Linked DNA regions of Macaca mulatta. The protein of the gene in region 2 interacts with the protein of the main gene of each other region in a pairwise test. Links are inferred from orthologs where the notes say so. Each region holds a gene or a part of one and is shown on either strand. Other genes may lie near its edges. The genes, in order: RPA4 and RPA1.

Evidence for each region.
Region 1: the proteins of RPA1 (region 2) and RPA4 interact in binary tests that used the Homo sapiens proteins (3 or more experiments, as listed by UniProt). The link is inferred for Macaca mulatta from reciprocal best matches to the Homo sapiens genes RPA1 and RPA4.

Annotation. Positions count from the first base shown.
Region 1 is NC_133426.1:103,830,880-103,846,602, reverse strand, and holds RPA4 (replication protein A 30 kDa subunit), read right to left. Parts: upstream 7,050-15,723; 5' UTR 6,125-7,049; coding exon 5,339-6,124; 3' UTR 5,014-5,338; downstream 1-5,013. Other genes in the region: DIAPH2 (protein diaphanous homolog 2), read right to left, coding at 8,692-8,831.
Region 2 is NC_133421.1:3,371,410-3,387,420, reverse strand, and holds the start of RPA1 (replication protein A 70 kDa DNA-binding subunit), read right to left. Parts: upstream 8,638-16,011; 5' UTR 8,549-8,637; coding exon 8,516-8,548; exon of another isoform or gene 8,508-8,515; intron 1-8,507. Other genes in the region: protein-lysine N-methyltransferase SMYD4, read left to right, coding at 10,501-10,542, 10,627-10,772. UniProt on the Homo sapiens protein: As part of the heterotrimeric replication protein A complex (RPA/RP-A), binds and stabilizes single-stranded DNA intermediates that form during DNA replication or upon DNA stress.

The DNA.
Region 1 (15,723 bases), on a different chromosome or scaffold from region 2:
GTTCCAATAGCAAAGGTAAGAGGATTAAAACTAAGCAAAAGAGAATATAGAACGTAGAGGCTTAGAGTTGCAAGGCTCCAATCCCATTTACATATGAAGAAACTGAGGACCATTGACTGGACCAAGGTCACCACAGAGGAGTGATCAAGAACTAGAATGATTTATCATATTGTCACAGGATCCTGGGGTGTCACTTTGCCAACTAGAAACCTCTGCAGTCAGTGGCACCTTCTGCCTGAGTAACGTACAACATGTTCTCCCTGCTTCCATCCAGGGCTATCCTTTAAAAATGTAGGTCATCTCATGCCATTCCATTCCTCAAAGTTCTCTAACAGTGTCCCAGCTCACTCAAAGTAAAAGCTGAAGTCTTCTGAATGGTCAATTAGGCTCTACATTATCTGCTTCCAGCATGCTAGCCTCCTTGACATTCCTAGAACATGCCAAGCATGCTCCCATCTTTGGTATTTGCTGTTGCTGTTTTCTGTTTCTAACAACATTCCTCCTCCGGTGAACATAGCTCACTGCCACACTTCCTTTAGACCTCTGTGCAAATGTCATCAGAGTGAGGGAGGCTTTCACTGATCATCTAATATAAAATAGCAACATCTCTTCCTCAGTTCATATCACAACCTGACATTTGATATACACCTTTAAAAAAACTGTCTGAATTCCTGTACTAGAATGTAAGCTACATATGTATAAGCCCCATATGGACAAGGGGAATTTAGTTTTGTTATTCCTTTGTAGGATTATCCATGTGATACATAAAAACAAACCACATAAAATATTAAGTGCTATTTATTAAACTCCTCCAATTTAAGGTATTACCAAAGGAAATTAACTTTTTTTTTTTGAGACGGAGTCTTGTACTGTTGCCCAGGCTGGAGTACAGTGGCACAATCTCGGCTCACTGCCAGCTCTGCCTCTTGGGTTCATGCCATTCTCCTGCCTCAGCCTCCCGAGTAGCTGGGACTACAGGCACGAGCCACCACACCCAGTTAATTTTTTGTACTTTTAGTAGAGATGGGGTTTCACCGTGTTAGCCAGGATGGTCTCGATCTCCTGACCTCGTGATCCGCCTGCCTCAGCCTCCCAAAGTGCTGGGATTACAGGCGTGAGTCACCACGCCCGGGAGGAAATTAACTCTTAATGTTAAAAAATTGTTTTTGTAATTTATCACATGATGGCAAATTGGAATAAATATCACAGAGATAGTGTTAGAATTACTAGAAGTATGATCCACAATAGATAGGGCAAAGAAGTCCCAATTTACACACAGCTATGTGATCAGAAAAAAAAATAAGCTTCTCAATACACTGATATATATTCTTAAGATATTATATTGCAAAAACTACAAGCATAGATTTAGAGAAAATGTAGCATTTCAGATGATCTTTTAAATCAATGAAAATATAGTCCCAAATGGTATTACAGTATCATAAAAAAATCACCCAAGTTATTCAACTAAGTTCTCTACGACAGCAAAAAATAACGTTTTGTCTCTTAAGCTGATAGGTGAGTACAAAGGTGTTTTTATATTATCTTCTATACATTTGCTGAAAGTTTTCAGTTTTTTTCATTTAAATGAGACAAATTTTAAGGAAAGAAAGTCAAAATATTTAGTATGTGACGACAGTGAAAGAATACTAACAACAATGAAAGAATACTATTTTAATAGACTTTCCTTATTGTGACGCTGTACAAACTAGTTGTTAAGGGCCTAGGCTCTATAGATACAAAGCCTGGGCTTAAATCTTAACACTGACACTTGCTGGTCACGCAACTTTAATATGGAGCAAATTACTTAACCTCTCTGAGCCTAAAGTTTGCCTACAAAATAGGAACAATACTAATAATGTTATCCTGATTGTATATGTATATTTAAAGGTCTTACAACATAGTAAATGCCATATATATACATATACATATACACACACACATATATATACACACACATATATATAAAAAACACATATCACACACACATAATTTTTCATTATTTTTTAATGTATTAAAAATGCCTATACATCATCCAATAAGACATTTGGAAATGGAGTCTCAATTTCAAGAGAGAGGTCTGGCCGGGTGGGTGGCTCACACCTGTAATCCCAGCACTCTGGGAGGCCGAGGCAGGCGGATCATGAGGTCAGGAGTTTGAGACCAGCCCGGCCAATATGGCAAACCCCGCCCTACTAAAAATACAAAAATTAGCCAGGTATGGTGGCAGGCGCCTGTAGTCCCAGCTACTCTGGAGGCTGAGGCAGGAGAATCGTTTGGACCTGGGAGGCAGAGTTTGCAGTGAGCTGAGATTGTGCCATTGCACTCCAGCCTGGGCAACAAGAGCAAAACTCCATCTCAAAAAAAAAAAAAAAAAAAAAAAGAGGTCTGTGCTGAAAATGTAAATCTAGGCATCACCGGAATCATACATACACATACACACACATACACACACACACATACACACAACTCCCACTCTTAGAACAGTACTTGGGAGATAATAAATATTAAATAAATGTTAAAATGTTAACTATTACTATCTTTAATAAGCATTTCAGAAATCAATTAAATTTAAACTCATCAAAATTAAAGTTAACACTTAAATGCATATAGTAGGAACTCACTAAAGGTTTCATGAACAAATATAATTCTTGCTAGTTACCTTTTTTAAATTGCTGTTATCAAAAGTAAACAGAAATTGAAAAAATATAAGAATCTATGCTTTTCAGCCTCTACTCCAAATGTTACTAAATTTAGTAGGTAAAAGTAACAAAATGATCACTAATAATTATGACCATAGTAAGATTATTATATTGGCCTTGAAAACACTTTCAAATATATTTATTCATAGTTAATTCAGAATCAACCTCAATATAAATACATATATTTCATAAGCCTGTGAGCCATAGGAAAAAACCTCGGGTGGATTATAATCATCAATTACGTTTTTCAGGTTCCTCAGGCTTCAATGTCCCTGCCCAAAATAGTCAATAGTATGTCCCCAGGATTTGTATCTTATCCTCAAAAGGTGTGGCTAACAATCAGGGCAGGACCTTGGAGAAAGGGGATATTAGCCAAGTCATTCCCAATCTGAACAAAATTGAGAAAGTATGCATGCCAGGTGCGTGTTGAAAATGAACTTTAAAAATCTGCACCCTTTAACATGGACTAAATATGCTTGTATAAAACAATCCAGTGATTGTTTTCTGCCTAAAAATGTTTTTATTTCCACTGACATTATATCTAGACCTACTTACTATTTTTCCACTGCTATCTCTTACCTGCAGCAGAATCCACTAAAGCACATGATTCCACTCAGAAGAATAAGGGTTGGGAGTAGTAATTTTAAAAGCCTAAAACAACCCCAAGGAACACAGATAGAGGACATTGCCCCTCAGAGGATGGGGGAGAGGCTGGTCTTCTGCCTTAAATTCAGGTGTACAAATCTCAATGTATCAGTTTGCAGGGACAAAAGCAGTTTGGCCTCCTAAACAAAACAAAAAAAAAGAGTTTTTTTCCCCCTCCTTCTGGAGGCATGCTCCTAGAGTAGGAAAAAAAAGTGGCTACCCATCCACTGGCCAGCTGAGTCAGCTCAAGCAATTATGGGAGCGACCTATAATTATACTCATAAATATCAGATTTTGATGTCATGGTTTCTGAATTTGGGTAAGTGATATCACAAAAGAATACTGTATCTGCTAGACTATTTCTTTCAGTTCCACAATTCTAAGTATTATATATGCCCCTTGTTGCCTCTCCCCCAATATGATTTTCCCTAGGACAGGTAACCTTTTTCAACAAAAAGTGGTTCCGAATATTTTAGGTTTATGAAGACCAGAATTTTCACAATGTCTGATAATTTAAGTAACAGGTTTATAGTATGTTATTCATTTGTGTTTTTCAAGAGTGTCATTTATGATTACTTTCAAGGGGAAGAAAAACATGCATCACAAAGCTTAAGCAAGAATTGGTGGTAAGTTTTTCTAATGGCCACTGACAGAGGCCATTTTCTGAAAGTTTTCCTGAAAGTACGGATTACTGGCAATGCTCCATTTAAGAGTTATTTTTTTTTTCAGTTTTCATGATTCAATTAGACAAATAATGTTCTTCTCTTCTATGTGAATATATATTATATATGAATATACATATATTATATAAAATACAATACATATTCATTCAAAAGTATATATTTTTTCTTTCCTCTAATGTAAAATATTTAACACCTTGAAAGATACCATCTTTAGTGCATAGGTAAGTGAGGGCTTTCGTTAATGGTCAATTATTTAAAAGTCTCACATAATTTATATAATCTACACTAAAATGTATTGTTAGAACTAGGCTATAGCATATGTTCTTGGTATTATATATAGAAAAGAAAAAAATCTGGATAATTAAAACTATTAATCCTTAAGGATATAAAACAAAAATGCTTTTTCAAATGTACTTAGAAAAAAAATCACACAGGAAAGTTAAGATTTTATAAAACTATTTTAATAAAACATTTGAATAAATTTGTGTTAAACTCAGGAAGTTTCATATTCCCATGACTTGCTTCCCTAACCTCCTAAAAATTACCTTGTTATACATAAAACAGAGCATTTAGTAAAATAAATAATACACCAGCACATCAAACTTACAGAAACTCTGGCATCCATTTACCATGCAAGTGCAATAAATTGTAATTTCATCCAAATACCACGTCATGTATGAAATAATCATTAAACTTCACCACATTAAAAAAAAAAATTCAAAGATAACCTGGCAAAAATGATTTATTTAAACATAGTATAATCTTATTTTAAGAAAACATAAATTCATAGTAATGAGAGCAAATCACACATAAATGTTTGAACTGAGCATTAGAATTCACAAATTAATATCTTCAGCTCATTTGAATTAATGAAGTACTAAATACTATATTGAACAAGAGATAATATCATTATACGCTAAATCCAAACATGGAAAATAACTCTAACATAAAAACAAGCAAGACTTTTTGTTGTTGTTGTTGTTTGGTTTTTTTTGGGAAAAGAAGCTCCAACACAATTAAATAATACATTTCTACATTTTCTGTAGTTTTTCTTCCCCTCAAGTCATCATGTTTCCATTAGCTTGCTAGTAAATCCTACAGAGTTGTCAATTTATCCATCACCATCTCTCTCTGAGCTTCAAATATAGAAAATCTGAAGAGTTCAAAGCAGTTAGAAAAGCAGCGAGTTGACAAAGAATGCCACTTGAGATTTTTTTTTTTTTAGTCCTACTTCCTAAAAAGTCATCAGGTCAAAATTACTCTCAGATGGATGCAGGGATCTTTGGAAAAGGAAAGGATGTTTTCCCTGCCTCAATCAGCAGACTTAAAATGCTCCTGATCCACAGTGGGATAGATGTGGCCCTCGACCGTCAGATATTCAATCGCTTCCTTGATGGCCTTGAGGCTAAGGTCGCAGAGCTGAGCCTGGAGCTCATAGATGCTCTTCCCTTCCTGTTGAGGACACTCATGAATCAAACGCAGCACTTCGTCCCGGATGAAACTGCGGTGACTCTCATCGTTATCCCCAGCATCATCCACTTCCGATGGAAACACAGGCACACTTTCTACAGTGGTATCACGACGGGCTTTATCCAGCATCATGTGTGCATTGACCGTTTCCAGAATATGCACAGTGAACTCGTTCATGTCCTCTAGGACATGAATTTTCAATACCTCAAGGGTCTTTGTTCCCGTGGGACATTTGAGGATACCAAACACTTTGACATATGCTCCGACTGACAGTGGAGTCACTTGCTTGACTTTTTCTCTACCAAACCACTGTCGGGCCTCGATTGGTTTCGCAGTCATATCATCAATTTTGTAACAAATGTGATTTGAAGCCTTCTCTGCCCCTCTGATTACCCCCACGATGGAGACCTGGGAAACTATAATTCCCCTAACCTTGAACACAGTGTCAAACACAGTAGAGCTGAGAAGCTGGTTCACATTACACGGTACAACGTCCTGAATTCGGACCTTAGGTCTTTGGGTCTTAATAGCAGGAGCTGCATCTCTCTCACACAGTTGGTCACTGCCTCCACTCCCTCCATCAGCAGCAGAAATGCTGCCATAGCTCCCAAACCCACTGTTACTCATCTTCAAGACAGTTCAGGCCGAGGAGAAGGTGGGCTTTGGCTCGTCTGGGGCTCCACGGACAGCTTTGAGTTCTCCACAGAAGGCTTTGAGCTCTCCACAGAAGGCTTCAAGCTGTCTGAAAGGCTACGATTGAATGCTGGGAGCCTGAGGACGTGACAAGCTTCACGCCACCTGTGGACCAATCAGCTACCAGAATGCGTCTGCTTCCAGCCAGTCAGGGTCGGCCACCTTCTCACCTGACGGCATAATCCTTCCCTGTGTGTCAGTGGTTGCTACATTCTAAAAGCCCCACACGAGGGGAGCCCTGTTGCTTAGCTGGTCAAAGCGCCTGTCTAGTAAAAGTCCCACGTGTAATTTCAAGCAAGCCTTTCCCAACATCTCTATAAAAATGCATTTTTACTAGTCCCCCTCTTCATTTCTTAATGCTACAACTTCTACAATTACTTTTAAAAGACTCATTTATTCATTCATTCAAACAACAATGCAACAGAAATTTTAGGAGCATGAAGTGCTTGGCAAAACGGTAGAGTGCTGTACGTTATGTGCAGGGGGAAAAATGCACCACCGTGGTTACTGTTCTCAAGAATTCACGTCCCCCGTTCATTCAAACCGTTAAAACCAGGAGCATTGGGCCGGGTGCAGTGGCTCACGCCTGTAATCCCAGAACTTTGGGAGGCCGAGGCAGATGGAGTACTTGAGGTCAGGAGTTCAAGACCAGGCTGTCAACGTGGTGAAACCCCGTCTCTACTAAAAATACAAAAATTAGGCAGGCGAGGTGGTGCACACTTGTAATCTCACCTACTGGAGAAGCTGAGGCAGGAGAATCACTTGAACCCAGGAGGCAGAGGTTGCAGTGAACCGAAACAGCGCCACTGCACTCCAGCCTGGGTGACAAGAGCAAAACTCCATCTCAAAAAAAAAAAAAAAAAAACCTAGGAGTATTTTTTAAGAAATAGCAAGACAATCGTCTTTCAATGATTATCATACTCTAAGATAAGTCACATCTTAACACTGGCTTTTTAAAATTTTTTGTTGTTTTAAAATTGTAATTTTCCAGGTATTTTTTGCCAAGTGCACTATAAATGAGTAATTAATATATTTCAATTTATACATAAATCCAAACTGAATGACTGAGCTCTAAATTATTTTCAAGGCTCTGTGGAAAGGACAGAAAAGTACAAGATTTACGCCTATTACATATTAGGAAAAACATGGATAAAATCACAGTAAGTTTTTTATATACTCTTACGGAGTAAATTCTGAACTTCTAGCAGTTATACAAATAGATCCCAGATTTTTTTTTTTTTTTTTTTTTTTTTGAGACGGGGTCTGGCTCTGTCTCCCAGGTTGGAGTGCAGTGGCGGGATCTGGGCTCACTGCAACCTCCACCTCCCGGGCTCAGGTGATCCTTCCACCTCAGCCTCCTGAATACCTGGGACCACAGGCACACACCACCACATCTAGCTGACTTTTTTGTATTTTTAGTAGAGACGGGGTTTCACCATGTTGGCCAGGCTGGTCTCAAACTCCTGGACTCAAGCAATACACTTGCCTCAGCCTCCTGAAGTGCAGGGATTACAGGTGTAAGCCACCATGCCCGGCCAAGAATGTTTTGATATTTTATTGAAATTTTGTTTTTCTTTATAAAATATTTTATTTTGGGTGTTATTGATTTAAAGGCTTAATAAAGGAACCACAGTTACTGGAATCCACCATTGGCAAGTAACCTCCTAACAATCCTTTGTAGTTAGTTAATAGCTTAAATTAGTTGAGTTTTGAGGAGTTTATTAATGCTCTCATTTCTTTTACTGGTTAAAATAATTCACTTTTTGCTATCTCAAAATTACAGAAATATGTGGAGTATATCTAAAACTTATAGAAGAACATGAAGTTATATATACCTTTCAAGTTTTAAAAGAATAAAATTGACCAGGCACGGTGGCTCACGCCTGTAATCCCAGCACTTTGGGAGACCGAGGCAAGTGGATCACGAGATCAGGAGTTCGAGACCAGCCTGGCCACTATGGTGAAACCCCTTCCCTACTAAACATACAAAAATCAGCCGGGCATGGTGGTGCGCGCCTGTAGTCCCAGCTACTCAGGAGACTGAGGTAGAAGAATTGCTTGAACCTGGGAGGCGAAGGTTGCAGTGAGCCGAGATCGTGCCACTGCACTCCAGCCTGAGCGACAGAGCGAGACTCCGTCTCGCACACACACACACACACACACAAAGAAGAATAAAATCATGGAGCAAATATGCTTAATTTGCTTAATAAATAAATATATAATAATTATCTGAGCCCACAAATAGATTTCCATGTAAATGTGGACATTTAACTTCTGGCTCTATGTTAATATTTGTATTCCTAAAATTGTACATTACTGGAGATCCAACTAAATATATTTTTAAAAGTTTACAACTTCACAATCAGATGCTGCTGCTTTATTAACATCAGACTTTTAGTCAGAAAATCCTGAGGTTTAAATAACAAAACTTATTATATTCCCAAACAATTACATACACTACAAATTGTATGAATCATACCAAAATGATAATAACGACTTACCTGACTGGATTGCTGGTTAAAGAAACCCTGAGGGATTCTAGGCAATTAAGAAGTTTCTCATCTGATATACCCGATCGTAATTCATGAACATATTCTTGTGAAGACAGGGTGCATTCATGTTTGCTGTTTTTCAGCCCACCCTAAAAAATAAACAAAGATACCATTTTAGACAATGTTTTTTAAAAAATTTTTAAGTAAAATAATGCACAGAATATTTATTTTGTTATATAAAAATGTGTGCAGAGTGCTACACGCTTAAAAATTCTTGATCACAGAACTGATGTGTTAAAATTGTGTTGTATATATCTCAACATTTTCCTCGACCTCATTTAAAAAAAAAATTACAGTGCTGGTGCTCATGACCTGAATAGAATATGAACTTGAATTACACAAAGTGTCATTGACAGGGGTGCTTAAATTTACAATTCAGGCATTAGAATTAATATTAGCTAGTCCTCCTTAATCCAGAGGATAAGCATTCAAAAATCCTCTTATTAATTTTCCTAGTTAAGATATGTATATTCGATTCCACAAAATCCAGCAAATAAAATTTAATATATACCATTATACATAACCCACATCTACTGAAAGATATCAGAGTTATCAGCCTTTCTAAAAAAATAAGTGAAAACAGTTATTAAAATGTAAAACAATATAGTCTCCAATTAGCATGTTAATTAATCAAATCAGTTGAAAGCATTCACCAGTTCCCAATTATTCCTTTCTGTTACTCTCAGGTTGTAGATTAATCATAAAAAGTCATTAAATACATTTATCTGATAGTAACTGGTTTTTAAGTTAATTTTCAATATAGACGGAGTTATTTCTAGAACTCATCTCATCACTGCTCCTTAACTTCATCATCTTGCTATAACTATATAAGTAGTTCAGGGAAAAGGCTGGGAGGAAAACATTGTCAACACATTCACTATACTAATACCTCATAGTTTCACATTCTAGACCTACCTAATCATAATTGCCCCTTTCCTATACTGTAAATGTATATCCCTGAATTAAGACTCCAAGCTTGAGTTCCATTTTACAGGTTCATACAAATTACACTCAGTTTCTGCTAAACATCTAAGGATACTTACCATAAAATAACATCATTAGGATATGATATATCATCATAAGAAATATAATATTATACGGAGATTATAAGGAAAGGAATTTTTGCCTGTTGGGTAGAGGTATTATCATTAGAGGATACGACATTTAAAATAAAAAAAACAGTGTTAATAATGAGAAATGAGTTCCCTATGGTTTCACACTATTTGGGTTTTGATTGAGAATACCTCCTCAATGTAGAAAGTGTTAATCATTCTTAATTTCTGAATTTTAAAAATCCCATTAAATGCTAAATTTTTTAAGTCTGATAAAGGCTTATAACATATAGGGGAACTCTATTCCCTTAGAGCTGTGGCACTATTATCATTATTATAGCACTTAAAATATTGTGGTAGAGGTCATTATTTGTGTCTGTCTCACTTCTACATTGGGAACTCCATCTATGCCACATAACTAACACAGGTCATGAATTTAGTGAGCCTCAATAAAAGTGTGTTATTATTGAACTTCTCCATAATAACTGCAGAACAAGGAATAAAATTTCACACTTTTAGCTCCTATATTTTGTATAATGGACACTGACTTGGTATTTCTTGCTTCGTTATGAGATACAGCAGATGTTAAAAATATATTGGATGGGCCAGGGACGGTGGCTCACACCTGGAATCCCAGCACTTTGGGAGGCTGAGGCGGGTGGAACACTTGAGGTCAGGGGTTCGAAATCAGCCTGGCCAACGTGGTGAAACTCCGTCTCTATTAAAAATACAAAAATTAGCCAGGCGTGGAGGCACATGCCTGTAATCCCAGCAACTTGGGAGGCTAAGACACGAGAATAGCTTGAACCCAGGAGGCGGACGTTGCAGTGAGCTGAGACCCCGCCACAGCACTCCAGCCTGAGCCACAAAGCAAGACTCCATCTCCTCCACAAATAAAAAAGTATACTGGATGAATCATCATCACCTAAATGGCACAGTAAGTAAAACCATCACTGAGAGATCATGTCCATATTCCTGTAACTTCCTTACGCATCTATTATTCCACAAGGAATAACAGCAAGTAAATATTTAAAGCATAATTTTGCAAATTCAAAATTATAGTTTTATTTTTGCTCGGCCAACTCACTTTCTAGAGCAATACAAAGTTCATCAGTAACAAGGGATCTATTTACTACATATGCCAGTCTGAAAACTACTAGTAAAAGGAATTAAAGTTTTCAAGTCTGTAGTCACACACCACTTTCATATAATCCTCAAAGTTATTTTTAAATTAATATATAAAAAGGCACCACTAATCCTCCCCTAGGGGATTGTATATGGAATTTAACCCTGTTGAGTGACCTTTGTATTTTGCAGTTTTCTCTGCCTTGAAAACCCTTACCCCAACCTCTCTATTGCTGGCTCCCATCGTTTTAATCTCAGCCCCATAGTCTTCTCCCCACCTCACATTCTAATTATCATCGCAACACCATTTTAAATATCATTTACGATCTTACCTCTATGAAAATTTATTTTTGTAATTCAGTTGTTTACTGTCTTCCGCACTAAAACACAAGCTCTTATAAGACAGGATTCTTGCCTGCCTTGTTCACCACTGTATCCTCAGATCTTAAGACAGTGTTTAAGTAAGCACTCAATACATATTTCCTGGATGGATGGATGGATGGATGGATGGATGGATGGATGGATGGAGAATAAACAAAAGGGTGGATGAGTGATGAGTTTCAACTTGTTGAAGATTCTAAGCTTAGTTTTGCTTCAGAATATTATAGTTCTGAGACATTCAGTTATAATATATTCAAAGATGCTGAATATAGAACAGGTAAACTGAGACACTATTGCATGCTGAGGACAGCTCAGAGGTATTTCATATTGGGCATCTCATGGACACAGAACAATCTACTCAGAAAATGTTGGTTCCCTTTTTCTAATTGATTCCCTACAGGATTAGTCTAATTGGAACATATGGTCATGGCCGAGGTACTCCTTATAGACAAGTGAGCCAGCTCATCACTTTGTGGCTCACTCCCACCCAAGTCTTAGAAACAAGCTTAAATTATATAATTTAGGATCCTCTCTGGTTATAAAGAATGGAAGCAAACAATCTACTGGAGCATGACAGAGAATATACAACTTTATAGAACAGACGCCTTTTACCAAGCTTAGAAAGACTTTGAGATTTTAACATAAGTTCATATTTGAAAGTTATAAAAATATGATAGCAAGCTAAGGCTGGACTGGCCCTTAAAAATCAGTTCTTCTGATACCCTCATTACAAAAATGAGGAATCCAAGTAATTGCCTAAGTTCACATAATTATTAAGAGTATGAGACTAAAACAAATATTCTGGTCCTTGGATAGCTCCTTTCTCTACTATATACTACTTTTTCTCAATTTTGAATAAAATGTTAAAGCAACAAATATTTAATTCTGAAATCTCTATTACAGAATGTCAAGGTGTCAAAGTACCTTCAGCATAATCAATATGGTGCAAGATAATATTTTAAAAATCACCTAAAAACAAAATAGTGCAATACATTAGTTCTCATAATACTTAATAGGGCTGTAATACAAGAATGGCTTATTAACATCCTGTTCTGATACTGAACAAAGGAAACAACTAGATAATGGATGGGTAATAATGGAAATTTTAATTAGCTGCTCTGTATGAGATTAATGAAAATTACCACTGTGCCCATTTGATCTTTAAAAAATAATGCAGACAAAGTTAGCAATTAGCGTACATCATGCTATTCCAAACCTAGGTGAACAAAGAGCTTTCCTAATTTGAAGCCATTCCTTAATTTGAAAATCATTAGGATGGAGATACTAGTCAATGTGACTGTGCTTGTATTATTTTAAGACAGTAAACAAATAATCAAAAGGTAGTTTGAGTCAGTTTAATAGTCACAGATTCCCCTTGCTCTGATATGAAATGGTAAAATCAACAGCAGAGAAGCAATATTCTAAGAAAGAACACTTTTAGTTTGCAGTGGAGAGAACCACTTCTGAGTTTAGATGGACTTAGTCTGAGTATGGTCTGTCATTTTTAAATGTAAAAACAGATTTACTTACAATTTGAGAAAAGGCTTTATGGTTCTTAGCTGTAAAGGTATCTTGCTGCAGACACTAGACAGAACTATTGATTGTACACAAGTCTTTTCAGCTACAGCATGCACACAGATAGCAATTACTATCAGGGATGTCATTTTCAAATAGGATGGACAATATTTTCATGAAAACAGTAATTTTGTTAGTGTTATTGACCACGATTTATAAATCCTAATGAAGTCCATTTCTTTGGCTATTTTAATCAAATGAGTTTCTTATCTATCATTGTGTTCTCTGAAAATATAATGCTATAGATTAACATATTTGGGATTATATCTACAGAGGTTCACACTGTTGTTCTTGGAGGCTCCAACAGCTTTCAAACATAAGAAATCAAAATGCCATTTTCATCATCATCAGTTCCTTGAGTTCAAGGAGGAAAGGGAGACACAAAATACGTGCCATATCCAAGTGAATCTATTTATTTATTCTGATAGCTGTATATTTGGTGGAATAGAGAATGCTATATATTGCAGAACCTTTAGATGGCTTCTCTCCATTTTTGTAAGAAAGCCATCTCTTACTGGCAGAGTAATAGAGTTATGTAATTTATGTATCAAAAATATAAAAATATATTAAAATCAATTTATATAATAAAACTTAAAATAATTTAAAATGCAGTTTGCACTGAAAAATATTTTTTAATGGCACAAAAAAATGTAGGGTAAAAGATACTACATATTACCAATTGAAGTCTACAAGAAAAAAAACTACACAGAAAATTACTGTCATGAGATTAACTTCATATTGTGTCATTTCCCATTGCAGGAAACACTGTTTCTAACTAAGGCATTTTCAGAGGATGAAAATAATAGGCAAAATGAGAGAATATATCCCAAATTATAGGGCAGAGGTGATAAAAGCTTTTCTACAGCAATGTATAAGCATCATAATTCTTCAGATTATATGTGCCATTTTTCCCAAAAGAATTTGAATAAGTTTATTAAAATATGATCAGCTAAAATGTTTCATGAAAGAAAAGTATAAGGTTTTCTATGATGAAATCATTTATTGTTCCCTTACTGAAGCTTTTGTATATTAAATATCAATTAAGCATTTCACCCCCAAATTACAGACTCTTAGACCGTCACAGAACAAATATTTAGATCATTTTCTGAGCACTTGTATTACAGATTGTGTATCTCTGATTCAAATGGTTGGGACCAGAAGTGTTTCAGAATTCTGGTTTTCTCCAATTTTGTAATCTTTGCAAATACATAATGAGATATTTTGCAGACAGGACTCAAGTTGAAACACGATATTTATTTTTGTTGTATATGCACATTATACAAATAGCCTGAAGATAATTTCATACAATGATTTTAATAATTTTGTGTATGAAACAAAGTTTTGGCTACATTTTAGCTGCAGCTCAACACATGAGGTCGGGTGTGGAATATTCCATTTGTGGCATCATGTTGGTTCTCAAAAAGTTTTGGATTTTGGAGCATTTTGGATTTTGGATTAGAGATGCTCAGCCTGTATTAGAAATGTCAAGTACACAAACTCTAAACATAGTTTTAAATTCTGTGTCCATATTGTTACCTCTTATGTTATGAAAGACATATTTAACCAATAGAGTATAGAGGAAAATACTTCATAATAATTTCAAATAATTACTCAGTTAAATATTCAAAAAGTTTAGATTTTAACATCAAATGAAACAAAAAGGTGATATTTTAAAGTAGAATATTAATCCCAAAACACTAACCTTCGTTTCTTTTAAAACAACAGCCTCATTTGACCTAGATACTCTCAGAGATATGGACAACTGAAGGCTAAACTATCATTAACTGATTTCCTAGTGAAAGCAAACTAAAATATTTAATGATAATCAATATTAGTCAATCTGGATAATAAGCAATCAATTTGACATATTTCTTTTTCATATCAATAATGTATAGTCTATTCTATACTTAAAATCCACACATACTTCTCTTTTAAAACTAGTGTTAAGCAATTATGGTGAACAGTAGGCATACGGGTGAATAATAGCAAGTAAATCTTTAAAACCGTGAAGTGTGTCTACTAGTATTTTCTATGAGCCCCTATCATTATCCATGGTACTTGAGGCAAAACAAATACACATTAGGTTTCTCTTTTATTTGACAGAGGCCTTTGAGATATATCAGATAATCAAATGTAAAAAGATATAAAGTCAGGGGTTCTTATCCTGGGGTCTAAATTTAGGGGGTATGTGAATTTGGAAAGGAAAAAATATTTTCAGTAACCTCTTACTTAAATCTACTACTTCTTTCAACTATGAATATAGGAAACAGATTAGAGTGGTATTAGCAGCCCCTGCAACTTGGTCACCAAGTCACATATACTTTCCTGTTGTACCATACATACTACATTTGTGAAAATACCTTAACTATCATTTATGCTTATCAATTCTTCAAAATTACTTGAGTCATACAACCTGCCACTTTATCTTGTTATTTAATAAATATTGTAAAGAAGTACAATTACTGTGTCTCAATTTTTTAATCAAACTATTTTCAGATATTTGAAATATGCATGCAGTTCTAAGAAATAATGCAGAGAGATCCCTTTTCCCCAATGGTAACATCTTGGTAATCTATATTACGATATCATGACTGGGATACTGACATTGATAAAACCCATCTATCTTATTTAAATTTCCCTAGTTTTATTTGTACTTATTTATGTGTGTATTTTATATATGTGTGTGTGTGTGTGTATATATATATATGCACTTCTATGCAGTGTTGTCATGTGTAGATTCAGGTATACAAACACCACAACCAAGATATGGAACAGTTCCATCACCACAAGGATCCCCCAAGTAGGGCTTTCAATAACCACATCCATCTCCCTCCCACAGCCCTCCACC
Region 2 (16,011 bases):
AACACTCTAGGTCCAGATGGCTTTACTGGTGAATTCTAACATTTAAGAAAAAACAAACAAACAAAAACTTGCATAAATTATTTCAGAAAATAGAAAAGAAGACTTTCTTTCCAAGTCATTTTATGATGTTACGTTTACTACGACAGGAAAAAAAAAAAAAAGACCACCCCATGCAGTGGTTCATGCCTATAATCCTAGCACTTTGGGAGGCCGAGGTGGGAGGACTGTTTTGAGCCCAAGACTTCAAGACCAGCCTAGGCAACATAGCGAGACTCTGTCTAAAAAAAAAAAAAAAAAAAAATCTTCAACAAATAGCAAATCAAATCCAGCACTATATAAAATGGGTAATATGTCATGACCAAGTGTGATTTAGTCAAGGAAGGCAAGGTTTATTCAACAACTGAAAAATCAATGTAATTTGTCACATTCACAGAAGAGAAAAATCATTATCAACTGAACAGATACAGAAAAGGCAACACTTATTCATTATAAAGTCTTAGCAAACTAGGCATAGAAGTCATGCTTAAACTGATAGCTGACATCTACAAAAAAAATCTATGGTTACCATCACACTTAACAGTAAAAGACAATCACAGGCTACTAAGATCGGGAATAAGGCAAGGATATACCTCTTAACATCTTTATTCAACGTGGTATTAGAGGTTCTAACTCATGCAATAAGGCAAGGGAAAAATGGGCATAAAGATTAAAAAGGAACCGGCCGGGTGCAGTGGCTCACGCTTGTAATCCCAGCACTTTGGGAGGCCAAGGCGGGCAGATCACTTGAGGTCAGGAGTTCGAGACCAGCCTGGCCAACATGGTGAAACCCTGATCCTTCCAAAAATTAAAAACTTAGCCGGGCGTGATAGTGCATGCCTGTAATCCCAGCTGCTGGGGAGGCTGAGACAGGAGACTCGCTTGAACCCAGGAGGCGGAGGTTGGAGGGAGCTGAGATCGCGCCACTGCACTGCAGCCTGGGCCACAGAGTGAGGCTCCCTCTCCAAATAAAAAATAAAAATATTAAAAAGGAACAAATAAAACTTCCTTTATTTGTAGACAACATGATCCTTTACACAGAAAATCCTACGGTATCTATAAAAACTAGTAAGTTGATTTAGCAAGTTTGCAGGACACAAGGTGGGTTGTGGAAAAATCATGTGTATTTCAATACACTAGCAATAAACAACTGAAGAATGAAATTTTCAAAAATGCCACTTAGACACCATAAAAAAAAATTTTTTTTTTTGAGACAGTCTCGCTGTGTCGTGCTAGAGTGCAGTGGCGCAATCTCAGCTCACGGCAACCTCTAACGCCCGGGTTCAAGCAGTTCTCCCGCTGCAGCCTCCTGAGTAGCTGGGGTTACAGGCGTGCACCACCACATTTGGCTAATTTTTGTATTTTTGTAGAGATGGGGTTTCACCATGTTGGTCAGGCTGGTCTCGAACTCCTGACCTCTGGTGATCTGCCCACCTCAGCCTCCCAAAGTGCTGGGATTACAGGTGTGAGCCACCACACCGGGTCTCAAAAGTAAATTATTTAGGGATATATTTAACAGTACATATGTAAGAACTGCACACTGAAAACTACCAACAAGGCTCATGCTTATAATCTCAGCACTTTCGGAGACGGAAGGAGGAGGATCACTTGAGCCCAGGAGTTTGAGACCAGTCTGGGCAAGATAAGGAGCCCCGTCTCTATAAAAAGTTAGCCAGGTGGGGCCGGGCGCGGTGGCTCACACTTGTAATCCCAGCACTGTGGGAGGCCAAGGCGGGCGGATCACGAGGTCAGGAGATTGAGACCATCCTGGCTAACATGGTGAAACCCTGTCTCTACTAAAAATACAAAAAACTAGCCAGGTGTGGTGGTACACGCCTATAGTACCAACTACTTAGGAGGCTGAGGCAGGAGAATCGCTTGAACCTAGGAGGCGGAGGTTGCAGTGAGCCAAGATTGCGCTATGGCACTCCAGTCTGGGTGACAGAGAATCCATCTCAAAAGAAAAATATATATATATTAGCCAGGTATGTAGTGCCTACCTGTAGTCCCAGCTACTCAGAAAGCTGAGGAACAATCAGCCCAGGAGGTCTAGGCTGTAGTGAACTGTGATTGCACCACTGCACTACAGCCTGGATGACAAAGCAAGACCATGTCTCAAAACAAACATCTGTTTTCATTTTCTTTTTCTTTTCTTATTGTACTTTGTTTCTCTATACTTCAGCGGATGCAAAGGGATCAGTACTTTGGGAGGCTGAGACAGGAGGATTGCTTGAGGTCAGGAGTTCGAGACCAGCCTGGCCAACATGGCAAAACCCCGTCTCTACAAAAAATACAAAAAGTAGCTGGGTGTGGTGGCACACGCCTGCAGTCAAGGTGAGATGGCACCACTGTACTCTAGCCTGAATGACAGAGTAAAGCCCTGTCTCAAAAAAAAAAAAAAAAAAAAAAAAAACAATTAGCTGGGCGTAGTGGTCCCAGCTACTTGGAGGGTGAGGTGGGAGGATCACTTGAGCCAGGGAGATAAAGCTGCAGTAAACTATGATCATGTATGTCACCGCACTCCAGCCTGGGTGACTGAGTGAGATCCTGCCTCAAAAAATAAAAATAAAAATAAAAATAAGAAATGAAGCTGGAGGCCAGGCACGGTGGCTCAGGCCTATACTCCCAGCATTTTCGGAGGCCGAGGCAGGCGGATCACATGAGGTTGGGAGTTCGAGACTAGCCTGGCCAGCATAGTGAAACCCCATCTCTACTAAAAATACCAAAATTAGCTGGGTGTGGTGGCGGGGGCCTGTAATCCCAGCTATTCAGGAGGCTGAGGTAGGAGAACTGCTTGAACCCGAGAGGTAGAGGTTGCAGTGAGCACTGCACCACTGCAGCCTGGGTGACAGAGTGGGACTCCGCCTCAAAAAAAAAGAAAGAAATGAAGCTGCAGAATTTACAATGCCAAATTTCAAGATTTACTATAAATCTGCAATTTTTATGACAATGTGGTATTGACGTAAGCACCAACATAGAAATCAATTGCAGAACAGACATTCCAGAGATAGAGATATACACATATACAGTCCATTGATTTTATCTAAAGTGACTAAGTCACTCAATGTAACAGGATAGTCTTTTCAATAAACAGGGCTGGAACAACTGAATATCTATATTAAAAAAAAGATCTATATATCATAGATAAAATAGTAAACTTGAAATGCATCATGGACCACAAGGCAAGGCTAAAACTATAAAACTTCTGGAAGAAAACACAGTATAAAAGATTTGTGACCTTGGGTGGGGTAGTCAAAGATTTCTTTTTTTTATTTTTTTGAGACTGAGTTTCACTCTTGTTGCCCAGGCTGAAGTGCAATGGCGCGATCCTGGCTCACCGCAACCTCCGCCTCCTGGGTTCAAGCCATTCTCCTGACTCAGCCTCCCGAGTAGCTGGGATTACAGGCACCTATCACCACGCCCTGCTAATTTTGTATTTTTAGTAGAGACAAGATTTCTCCATGTTGGCCAGGCTGGTCTCGAACTCGCGACCTCAGGTGATCCGCCCGCCATGGCCTCTCAAAGTGCTGGGATTACAGGCATGAGCCACTGCGCCCAGCCTAGCAAAGATTTCTTAGGACACACAAATACAAGACTGCAAAAAACAAAACAAAAACAGACAAAAAACCCACAACCTGATAACCTGGACTTCACCAAAATTTAAAAATGCACTTCAAAAAAAGAAAATTTCAAAAAAGAAAGAGCAAGTCACAGATTGGGAGAAAATATATGTAATATTTATATTTAACAAAAGACCCATCAAGAATAAAGAATTCTTACAACTCTTTAATAAGCACAAAACCCAATTTTTAGGTGAACAAAAGACGTGAACAGACATTTCTTTTGTGAAGATATACAAATGGCCAGTAAGCCCATGAAAAGATGCTCATTAGTCACCAGAGAAATACAAATTAAAACCACAGTGAGATACCTTTATACTTTCACTAGACTACTCAAGATCAAAGACTGACGACTGGCAAGGACATGGAGCAACTAGAATTCTCATAATCACACTGGAAAAGTTTGGCAATTTCTTTTAAACATTCAGTTACCTATGACCCAGCAATGATGCACCTAGATATTTATCCCAGAGAAATGAAAACATATTTCCACAAAAAGATTTGTACTTAAATGGTCATAGCATCTTCATTTAAGTCAAAAGATGAAAATAACCCAAACGTGCAATAATAAACAAATTTTGTTATAGTCACACAATGGAATACTACTGAGCAATACAAAAGTGCAAATTACTGAATTAACATGGATAAAGCTCAAAAACCATTTTGGTCCAGAGTGGTGGCTTATGCCTGTAATCCCAACACTTCGGGAGGCCAAGGTGGGAGGATCACTTGAGCCCAGGAGTTCAAGATCATCCTGGACAACACATCAAGACTCCATCTCTACAAAAAATATTTTTAGGCCGGGTGTGGCGGCTCACGTCTGTAATCCCAGCACTTTGGGAGGCCGAGGTGGGTGGATCACGAGATCAAAAGATTGAGACCATCCTGACCAGTATGGTGAAACCCCGTCTCTACTAAAAATACAAAAATTCATCAGGCATAGCTACTTGGGAGGCTGAGGCAGGGGAATCGCTTGAACCCAAGAGGCAGAGGTTGCAGTGAGCTGAGGTCACGCCACTGCACTCCAGACTGGCAACAGAGCAAGACTGTGTCTCAAAAAAAAAAAAAAAAAAAAAATTTTTTTTTTTTTTAATTAGCCAAGAGCGGTGGCATGCATCTGTAGTCCCAGCTACTCAGGAGGCTGAGGTGCGAGGATCTCTTAAGTTCAGGAGGTCAAGGCTGGAGTGAGTCATGACTGTGTCACTGTACTCCAGCCTGGGTGACAGAGACCCTACCTCTGGAAAAAAAACAAAAAAATTGCTGAAAGAAGCCAGACACAAAAAGGTAGATATTATTTGATTCCATTTATATGAAGTCTTAGGAAAGTCAAAACTGACCTACAGAGAGAAACCAGAACACTGACTGCCTCGGGTGAGGACGGAGGTGAGGAAGGAGTGGGAGGTGGGGTGCACTGATGGGATTATTCTGTATCTCCACTGGGGCAATGCAGCTACAGCGGTGCGTACATTTGTCAAAGTTCATCAAGCTGTACACTTACAATAGGTGCGATTTGGCTGGGCGTGGTGGCTCATGCCTGTAAATCCCAGCACTTCAGGAGGCCAAGGCGGGCAGATCATGTGAGGTCAGAAGGTTGAGACCAGCCTGGCCAACATGGCAAAACCCTGTCTCTACTAAAAGTACAAAAATTAGCCGGGTGAGGTGGCGTGCACCTGTAACCCCAGCTATTAAGGAGGCTGAGGCATGAGAATTGCTTGAACCTGGGAGGCAGAGGTTGCAGTGAGCTGACAGTGCACCACTACACTCCAGCCTGGGCAACAGGAGACTCTGCTTAAAAAAAAAAAAAGGTACAATTTACTATATGTAAGTGAAATGTCAATGACAGTGATTTTTCTAAAAAGCAGTTATTTCTGTGGAATAGAAGTGGACAAGGTAGGGCAGAAGGTCAGTAATTACATTAAACACCTCTTTCTTTCTTCTTTATAAATGAAATAGAGACAGGATCTTGCTATGCTGCCCAGCCTGGTATCAAACTCCTTCTTGGCCTCAAGGGATCCTCCTGCCTTAGCCTCCCCAAGTGACATTAACACATGTGAGCCACCATGCCCGGCCATAAACACTTTTCTGTTCCGTTTGATTTTAAAACCACACGCGTATATGAGAGGAATTGAAAAAGTACATGAAAAATGTGCATTATGAAAAAACTATCCATGCATTTCAAAAATATTTTGCACTGAAATAAACTCATACTAACTTGTTATAACGTGTCTGAACAAGATCTAGTGTGAGGCACTAAGAAGGATTAGACATCAATTTGAAAAGAGTCCCATGGGAGCAACACGAATTCTGCTAAAATGGAAGCAACAATGAACACCAAATTCAAGGTGAAGCTTGGGTGGAAGAAGGGTGAAATCACCAATGCTTTATGAAAGAAAAGTATATGGGGACAATGCTCCCAAGAAACCAGCTGTTTACAAATGGATAACTCGTTTTAAGGGACAAGGCCAGGCACAGTGGCTCATGCCTATAATCCCAAAGACTTGGGAGGCAAGGCAGGAGAACTGTTTGGAGGCCAAGAGTTCGAGACTAGCTTAGGCAAGATGGTGAAACCCCATCTCTACACAAAATTAAAAAAAAAAAAATTAGCTGGGCACGGTGGCATGCACCTGTAGTCCCAGCTACTCGAGAGGTTGGGGTGGGAGGATCACTTGAGCCCAGGAGTTAGAGGTTGCAGTGAGCTATGATCGTACCACTACACTCTAGCCTGAGAGACAAAAAACGAGACTGTCATTTAAAAAAAAAAGACTACGGCCCGGTGCAATGGCTCAAGTCTGTAATCCCAGGACTTGGGGAGGCCGAGGTGGGCAGATCACTTGAAGACAGGAGTTCAAGACCAGCCTGACCAATATGACAAAACCTCGTCTCTACTAAAAATACAAAAATTAGCTGGGCGTGGTGGCACACGTCTGTAATTGGGAGGCTGAGGCAAAAGAATCGCTAGAACCCGGGAGGTGGAGGTTGCCACGAGCCGAGATCGCGCCTCTGCACTCTAGCCTGGGCAACAGAGTGAGATCCTGTCTAAAAAAAAAAAAAAAAAGAAAAGCCCTAGTAAGTATACAAAGCGACAAAATGTAATACTCAAGGGCACATATGTTCGGCCAGGCGAGGTGGCTCATGCCTGTAATCCCAGCACTTTGGGAGGCCGAGGCAGGAGGATCATGAGGTCAGGAGATCGAGACCATCCTGGCTAACACGGTGAAACTCCATCTCTACTAAAAATACAAAAAATTAGCTGGGCATGGTGGCGGGCGCCTGTAGTCCCAGCTACTTGGGAGGCTGAGGCAGGAGAATGGCGTGAACCCGGGAGGTGGAGCTTGCAGTGAGCCGAGATCCTGCCATTGCACTCCAGCCTGGGCGCCTGGGCGACAGTGCGAGACTCCGTCTCAAAAAAAAAATGTTCAAATGCCCCATGGAAGAAGGGAGGAGTATGAAAAATACCAGAAATCTAAATGTAAAAAAAAATGTGGGGGTGACTGGAGAGTAGGCTGAGAGTATGCTGTGGATGGGAATGGTGGCAGGAACGTATGCTGAGTGGAAGTGAACAGCCCAGGCAAAAAAAAAAAAAAAAAAGATGGTGCCAGTATGGATGGAAAGAAGCCGGTGGGCTTGGTAGATCTACGCGGAGGTACAATACACTTCGCTTGGTGAGGAACTGGACGCCCAGGTGATGGACAATGTAGGAGGAATGATTTCTCAATCTCTGGTTAGCACTGAATTGAACAGATAATGGTACCATTCGTGGAGATAGGGATCAAGAGGCCCAGACTTAGAAAGATAACGAATTTGCTTTGGGATATGTATATTGAACTTAAAAGCCTCTGAAGCATGGAATAAGCAGATAGATTATAGAAGTTTGTCTTTTAGAGTAAAGGTGGCTCAGTACAAAGAAATTTGTCACGCCTGTAATCCCAGCATTTTGGGAGGCCGAGGCGGGCGACACAATGGAGGTCTGGAGTTCGAGATCAGCCCGGCCAACATGATGAAACCCTGTCTCTAATAAAAACACAAAAAAGTAGCCAAGTGTGGTGGCGCACACATGTAGTCCCAGCTACTCGGGAGACTGAGGCAGGAGAATCGCTTGAACCCGGGAGACGGAGGTTGCAGTGAGCCGAGATCGCGCCACTGCACTCCAGCCTGGGCGACACAGTGTGACACTCACACAGTGAGTGTCGCCCAGGCTGGAAGAAAAAAAAAAAAAAGAAATTGCCTTTGGGAGTCAAGAGGGCCTAGAGGGAGCCTTGAGTCAACAAAAATTTACAAAGAGGGGCCTGCAAATAAGACGGGGATAGACCCGCCAAGCTGAGCCACTAAAACCCAAGGAAGAGGGCGTGAGCAGAAGAAGCAGGGCTCAAAAGCAAACGCTGCTGAGAACTCAGGTAAGCTGAAAACGGAAAAGGGCTGGATTTAGCAACTTGGAGGACACTGGTCCCTTGAGCCAGGGTTTTCTACAGCGATCAAGGGGATGCCTGGAGTGGGTTAAAGAGTTGATGAGAGGCGAAGAAAGGAAGTGGCTGAAACCAGACAAGAAGTTTGGCTGCGGGGCAGGAAAGGAGAAGAAACAGAAAGTGGCCGCAGGTGAAAGATCCAGAAAAAGGCAAGCGTTTATTTACTTTGTTCTTAAGTAGGAAAAACGTGAGCGTGTTTCAAAGACGATCAGAAGAATGCTTTGAGGAGGGGGTGATGACACTACACGGGGGCTCGGCGAGTCCCCACCGCCCCCCGCCTTCTCCTCCCCTCGCGTTCATCCCCCGTCGCCCCGGGCTCCCCTCCCCCTCTCCACTCCGCGAGGCTCGGGGCCGCAGCCACCCGCACCGCCGGCCCGGCCCCCGGCACCTCCTCACCGCAATGGCCCCCTCGCTCAGTTGGCCGACCATGGCTCCGCCGCCCCGACTCCCGCGCGGACCCCGCGACAGCTGGAGCTTCCCCACCGGGGTCCCGCGCGCTGCGCAGTTATTGGCCCGAGGAGTTGCGTGCGCCGCTCCCGCCCCCGACGTGCGCGCGGCCCAGGGGCGGGCCCGGGCGCTGCGCAGCCGCCACATTGGCCGAGGCGCGGCGCACGTGACTTGCTCGCGGGCCCAAAGGAGGCCTGGCGCGGAACACGGGGCGCGGGGCGGGGCGCCGAGGGGCGCGCCAGGAGCTGCGCGGGCGCGGGGAGGGAGTCCGCGGCCCAGTTCCGGGCGCCTGTGAGCGGGCTCACGAGGCTTTCTCGCCTCGGTTTCTGGCCAGTGCACGGGTTGGTAGCCCAGAGGAGGTTAAAGCTGTTCCCTGAGACCTCAGCTGCTAAATGGAGTCGCAGCAGTGACCCGGTTCCTCCAGCAACGCGGGGCTGACTTCTCGACCGGGGCCAAACCCTGAGCTTGGCACCGTTGAGGGGGGGGTCTCCGAAGGGGAATCAGACCTGGTCCCTGTCCGTGGAGAAGAGGACAGTGTGTGGGGGCACTTTATGCCGTGAGTAGCCCCAGCGCCAGGTAGACGTGGTACAGGCCCCAAGAGTGTTGGAAATCAGGGAAGCCTTCCCAGAGGACGTGCCGTTTGAACCGAGTCGAAGAACGAACCTGTGGGAATTTTCCAGGTGGACTCCATAAGCCAGGGTAGGATTGGTCCGGAAAGCACGAATAGCCTCTGCCAAAACCTTGGAGAGATGAAATAGCCTGGCAAGCCGGGGATCGCAATGAGTAGTTCAGTATGCAAGGCTGCAGAGGAACAAGTGAGACCTGAGAATTAGAAAGTCAGCCAAGGGTCAAGTAAGGACGGTTTTGTCCTGGGCTTCCTGATATGCTTGGAGTAGCGTTGATGAATTTAAGGCAGAGCACTGACTTCTGTCTCAGTGTTGGAGGCTGGATTGAAAGTTGGGGGGGGTGCCAATGGCATGGACACTAATTATGACACTCTAGGAAGAATGCCAGACGAGATGGTGAGGACTTAAACCGAAGGAATGACCTGGGGGTTGAAAGAGAACGCTGAACTATATGAGAGAGAGAAATACCTGTTAATTGAATAGTTGCTGGGGTGGGTGAGAAAGAAAAATCTGGGGAAGTGTCTCAGGTTTCAGACTTGAGAAACTAGGGGGATCAGGCCGGGCGCGGTGGCTCACACTTGTAATCCCAGCGCTTTGGGAGACCCAGGCTGGAGGATCACCTGAGGTCAGGAGTTCGAGACCAGCCTGGTCAACATGGTGAAACCCCATCTCTACTAAAACTACAAGAATTAGCCAAGAGTAGTGGCGCACTCCGTAATCCCAGCTACTCCGAGGCTGAGGCAGGAGAATTGTTTGAACCTGGGAGGCAGAGGGTGCAGTGAGCCGAGATCGTGCCACAGCGCTCCAGCCTGGGGGACAGAGCAAGACTGTCTCACGCACAAAAAAAAACACTAAGAGGACACGGATGATAGCTATCTAGTCTGCTTCCTCTTTGTATAACCATCACCTGCATGGTGCCTGTCACAAAGTAGTCTTTCAGTAAATATTTCTGAATGGAAGGATGTTGAGTGAATTGCTGTGAGAGAATATAGATCTTTCCTTAGCATGTAAACTAGAGGAAAAGACCACAAGAATTGATTTTATTGCTTTAGGCTTCCTTGAATGAAATCTTGATTTTCCTTTTTTTTTTTTGACACAGAGTCTCCCTCTGTTGCCTAGGTTGGAGTGCAATGGTGTGATCTCAGCTCACTGCAACCTTGGCCTCCCCAGTCAAGTGATTCTCTTGCTTCAGCCTCCAGAGTAGCTGAGACTACAGGCGTGCGCCACCACACCCGGCTAATTTTTTTGTATTTTTGGTAGAGACGGGGTTCACTGTGTTAGCCAGGATGGTCTCGATCTCCTGACCTCATGATCCACCCACCTCGGCCTCCCAAAGTACTGGGATTACAGGTGTGAGCCACTGCACGGGGCCAAACTCTTGATTTTCTAAAATCGTGCGTTTGTGAGATTCCTATTTTCTTCCTCATTGTATAGATGGAAAGCAGCATGGGTCTGCCTGCGGATGAGTGGAAATCATACCTGCTTCAAAAGTGGGCTTCACTCCCGAAGTCCATTCAGCTCACCATTTCTACAGCAGAGACCTTGAGCGATATCTTTCTTCATTCCTCTTCACTTCTTCAGTAAGTACATGGAAGCGTTAACGAGGCAATTGTGACCTGAAAAACGTTCTGTTTTGTCATTTGCTCTGAAGTAATCTCTGTCTCTCTCTCTTTCTTAAATAGAGATGGAGTCTTGTTATGTTGCCCGGGCTGGTCTCAAATTTCTGGGCTCAAGCAATCTGGCCTCCCACGGTGCTGGGAGTACAGGTGTGAGCCATCATGCCTGGCCCAGTAATATCTCTTTTTTTTTTTTTTTAATTTTTTATTATACTTTAACTTCTAGGGTACATGTGCACAATGTGCAGGTTTGTTACGTATGTATACGTGTGCCATGTTGGTGTGCTGCACCCATTAACTCATCATTTACATTAGGTGTGTCTCCTAATGCCAACCCTCCTCCCCCCCCCCCCCGCCCCGTAATATCTGTTTTTGATGGAAAATGCCTGAAGTGCTTTTCGTGGTTCCTTTCTATCCCAGCATGTCCTGTGAACTAATTCACTTCTGTCATCCCGCAGGATTAGCCAGATCTTTCCTCAGGAAAGCTCTCACTGAGCCTCAGCTGGGCCATCTTTACTCTGTACATTTACAACGCTGTGTGATTTTCCTTTATATATGTGTGTGCTCTTTTGACTAATGCCTGCATTTGCCACTAGATTGTGAACTTCATGAGGGAAGGGACCATGTTTGTATTTGTTTGTGTTTCTTTTTTTTTTTTTTCGAGACAGGGTCTCGCTCTATCGCCCAGGCTAGAGTGCAGTGGCGCAATCTCAGCTCACTGCCTCTGCCTCCCAGGTTCAAGCGATTCTCCTGTCTCAGCTTCCCGAGTATTTGGGATTACAGACGCACACTACCACGCCTGGCTAATTTTTTTTTTTTTTTTTTTTTTTTGAGACAGGGTCTCACTCTGTCACCCAGGCTGGAGTGCAGTGACACGATCTCAGCTCACTGCAACCTCCGCCTCCTGGGTTCAAGCGATTCTCATGCCTCAGCGTCCCAAATAGCTGGGACTACAGGCATATGCCACCACATCCGGCTAATATTTTTGTATTTTCAGTAGAGATGGGGTTTCACCATGTTGGCCAGGCTGGTCTTGAACTCCTGCCCTCAAATGATCCGCCCATCTCAGCCTCCCAAAGTGCTGGGATTACAGGCATGAGCCACTGTGCCCGGCCTGTTTGTCTTTCTATAGACAAAAATAGTGCAGTGTCAAAAAACAATTGCTCAGTAAACATTAATTGAATGATAGTTTGGTAAAGTACATAAAGTTCTTAGTTTAGTGACTGGCTCTTATTAGTGCTTAATATGTCATATAAACCAGAACCTTATATATTTGCAGATCCACAAACACACACCTTTAAAGTTCAAGGTTGACATCTTTGTGCCAGGAACTGGCACAGTGCCTGGCACTTAGTAGGTGCTCAGATATTAATTGAATGAAATAATGAGTTCAGTTTTGAGCCTTGCCAGTTCAGATACTTGGTACAATTAGGGTTATACTTCTTTTGTTATTCTTCTTTTCTTTTTTTTTTTTAGACAGAGTTTTGCTCTTGTTGCCCAGGCTGGAGTACAGTGGGGCAATCTTGGCTCACTGCAACATCCGCCTCCCAAGTTCAAGCAATTCTGCCTTAGCCTCCCGAGTAGCTGGGATTGCAGGCTCATGCCACCACACCCGGCTAATTTTGTATTTTTAATAGAGATAGGGTTTCGCCATGTTGGGTAGGCTGGCCTCCAACTCCTGGCCTCAGAGGATCCGCCCGCCTTGGCCTCCAAAAGTGCTGGGATTGCAGGCATGAGCCAGCACACCCGGCCCCCCAGTACATTTTTATTTCTAGCCTCTTTGTGTCCCTTGCCCATTTTCTAGTGGGTTGTCTTTCTTTCTCTTGTTCATTTGTAGGAGATCTTCATAAATCTAGCTGTGTAATTCTTTGCTATGTAAGTTATTATTTGCTATATAAATTATTCCCAATCTGTTTATCTTTTTTACCTTATTTACAATGTAAATTTTGTACATTTACATTCTATATAAATTGTGTATATAGGTTTTAAATTTTTAAATTTTATTTAAATTTTTTTAGAGACAAAGTCTCAGTATGTTGTTCAGGCGGACCTCAAGCTCCTGGGCTCAAGCGATCCTCCTGCCTTGCTTGGGATGGTGGAGTAAACCATCCTAAGCAAGACATAACCCAGAAGCTATAAAAGAAGATGAAGTTGGGTGTGGTGGCTCATGCCTGGAAACCTAGCACTTTGGGGGTCAGAGGTGGGAGGACTGCTTGAGCCCAGGAGCCTGGGCAACATAGTGAAAAATTAGCCAAGCATGGTGGCATATGCCTGTCATCCCAGCTACTCAGGAGGCTGAGGTGGGAGGATCACTTGAACCTGGGAGGTCAAGGCTGCAGTGAGCCATGATCGTGCCACCGCACTCCAGCCTGGGTGACAGAGCAAGGCTATTTCTCAAAAAAAAAAAAAAAAAGGAAAATGACAGATAAGGCTTTATAAAAATCAAGCCAGACATGGTGACATATGCCTGTAATTCCAACTACTTGGGAGTTTATAAAAATATTCTTTGTTGGCCGGGCATAGTGGCTCACGCCTGTAATCCCAGCACTTTGGGAGACTGAGGCAGGTGGATCACAAGGTCAGGAGATCGAGACCATCCTGGCTAACACAGTGAAACCCCGTCTCTACTAAAAATACAAAACAGTCGGGCATGGTGGCGGGCACCTGTAGTCCCAGCTTCTCGGGAGGCTGAGGCGGGAGAATGGTGTGAACCCGGGAGGCGGAGCTTGCAGTGAGCAGAGATCACGCCACTGCACTCCAGCCTGGGCGACAGAGTGAGACTCTGTCTCAAAAAAGAAAAGAAAGGAAAATAGTGCCACTGCACTCCAGCCTGGGTGACAGAGCGAGACTCCGTCTCAAAAAAAAATAATAATAATATCTTGGGTATTTTGTGTGCATTTCCCCCATGTGAACTTTAGAATTGGCTTATTAAGTTCCTTTTTTTTTTTTGAGATGGAGTCTGTCGCCCAGGCTGGAGTGGCGCGATCTCAGCTCACTGCAAGCTCTGCCTCCTGGGTTCACGCCTCAGCCTCTCGAGTAGCTGGGACTACAGGCACCTGCCACCATGCCTGGCTAATTTTTTATATTTTTAGTAGAGACGGGATTTCACCATGTTAGCCAGGATGGGATTACAGGCGTGAGCCACCGCACCCAGCCAACTTCTCAAATTCTATAAAAAATGTTGTGGGTTTTTGATTGAGAATGTGTTGGATTTATAGATTCATTTAAGGAAACCTGACATCTTGACAATATCAAATTTCCTAATCCAAGGGTATGTCTTCCCATTTATTTAAGGCTTCTTTTACATCGTTAAGTAAAGTTTTATAGTTTTCTTTATATAGGTCTTACACATTTCTTGTTCAACTTATTCTCGTTGTAAGGTTTTTGTTGTTATTGTGAATGAGCCTTTTCCCCCCAATTACATTTTCTAATTGGTGATTGGTGGTGTAAATAAAAAATAAAAGTCATCCGATTTAAAATCATTTGGCTGGGTGCGGTGGCTCACACCTGTAATCCCAGCACGTTGGGAGCCCAAGGCAGGCGGATCACCTGAGGTCAGGAGTTCAAGACCAGCCTGGGCAACGTGGTGAACTCCTGTCTCTACTAAAAATACAAAAAATTAGCTGGGCATGGTGGCGGGCGCCTGTAATCCCAGCTGATACCATGGTGGGTTATGGTAGCCTCAGAATGAATTTGGAGAGCTTCCTGCCTTTTTCTATGCTCTGAAATCGTTTATATAATGTAGGAATTATGTGGTTCTTAAAGGCTAGTAGAAAAATCCTGTAAAACTATGTAGACTGGATGCCTTAGTGAAAATATTTTCCTTCCTTAGTTTAATTTTTTATCAGAATAATATGTGTACATACTTTAAGAAATCAAATAGGCTGGGCGCGGTGGCTCACACCTGTAATCCCAGCACTTTGGGAGTCCGAGGTGGGCGGATCACGCCTACCATGCCCATGTCAGGAGATTGAGACCATCCTGGCTAACACGGTGAAACCCTGTCTCTACTAAAAATACAAAACATTAGCCAGGTGTGGTGGCGGGTGCCTGTAGTCCCAGCTACCCAGGAGGCTGAGGCAGGAGAATGGCGTGAACCCGGGAGGCGGAACTTGCAGTGAGCCGAGATCGCGCCACTGCACTCCAGCCTGGGAGATAGAGCAAGACTCCATCTCAAAAAAAAGAAAAGAAATCAAATAGTGCTTCAAAATTTATGAGGAAAAACAGCAACTCCCTGTCCACTCTTCCCCATTCCTGATTTTTATTCCCCAGAGACAGCTACTTTAAATTATTTTAACTGTTTCTTCTGGCATTTAAATTTTTCATTTATTTATTTATTTGTTTGTTTGTTTGTTTATTTTGAGTCAAAGTCTCACTCTGTCACCCAGGCTGGAGTGCAGTGGCGCGATCTCAGTTCACTGCAACATCCGCCTCCCAGGTTCAAGTGATTCTCTTGCCTCAGCCTTCCGAGTAGCTGGGATTATAGGCACACATCACCACGCCCAGCTAATTTTTGTATTTTTAGTAGAGATGGGGTTTCACCATGTTGGCCAGGCTGGTTTCAAACTCCCAACCTCAGGTGATCTGCCCACCTTGGTCTCCCTAAGTGCTGGGATTACAGGGGTGCCACTGTGCTCAGCCTTCTGACAATTTATTCTTTCTAAACAGTGCAAACACTGCTCTTTCTTGAGTTTGTATAATTTTAGATGTAATTTTGCTCTCTTATCCCCAACTCACAGGCATATACTTTGTTTTTTGCTTTTGTTTTTTTGAGATGGAGTTTCGCTCTTGTTGCCCAGCCTGGAGTGCAATAGCACCATCTTGGCTCACAGCAACCCCCGCCTCTCTAGTTGAAGCGATTCTCCTGCCTCTACCTCCCAAGTAGCTGGGATTACAGGCACGTGCCACCATGCCCGGCTAATTTTGTATTTTTAGTAGAGACGAGATTTGTCCATGTTGGTCAGGCTGGTCTCAAACTCCTGACCTCAGATGATCCACCTGCCTCAGCCTCCCAAAGTGCTGGAATGACAGGCGTGAGCCACCACTCCTGGCCTATACTTTGTTTTTCCCTCATTCCCTCATGATAACTGTTATAATATAACCAATAGAATATTAAATTGATTGAACCAACATTCAGTGCATATATTCTTATGTCTGTGTAAATATTGCTCCCATGAACCACGAAGGATGCTTTGAATTACAT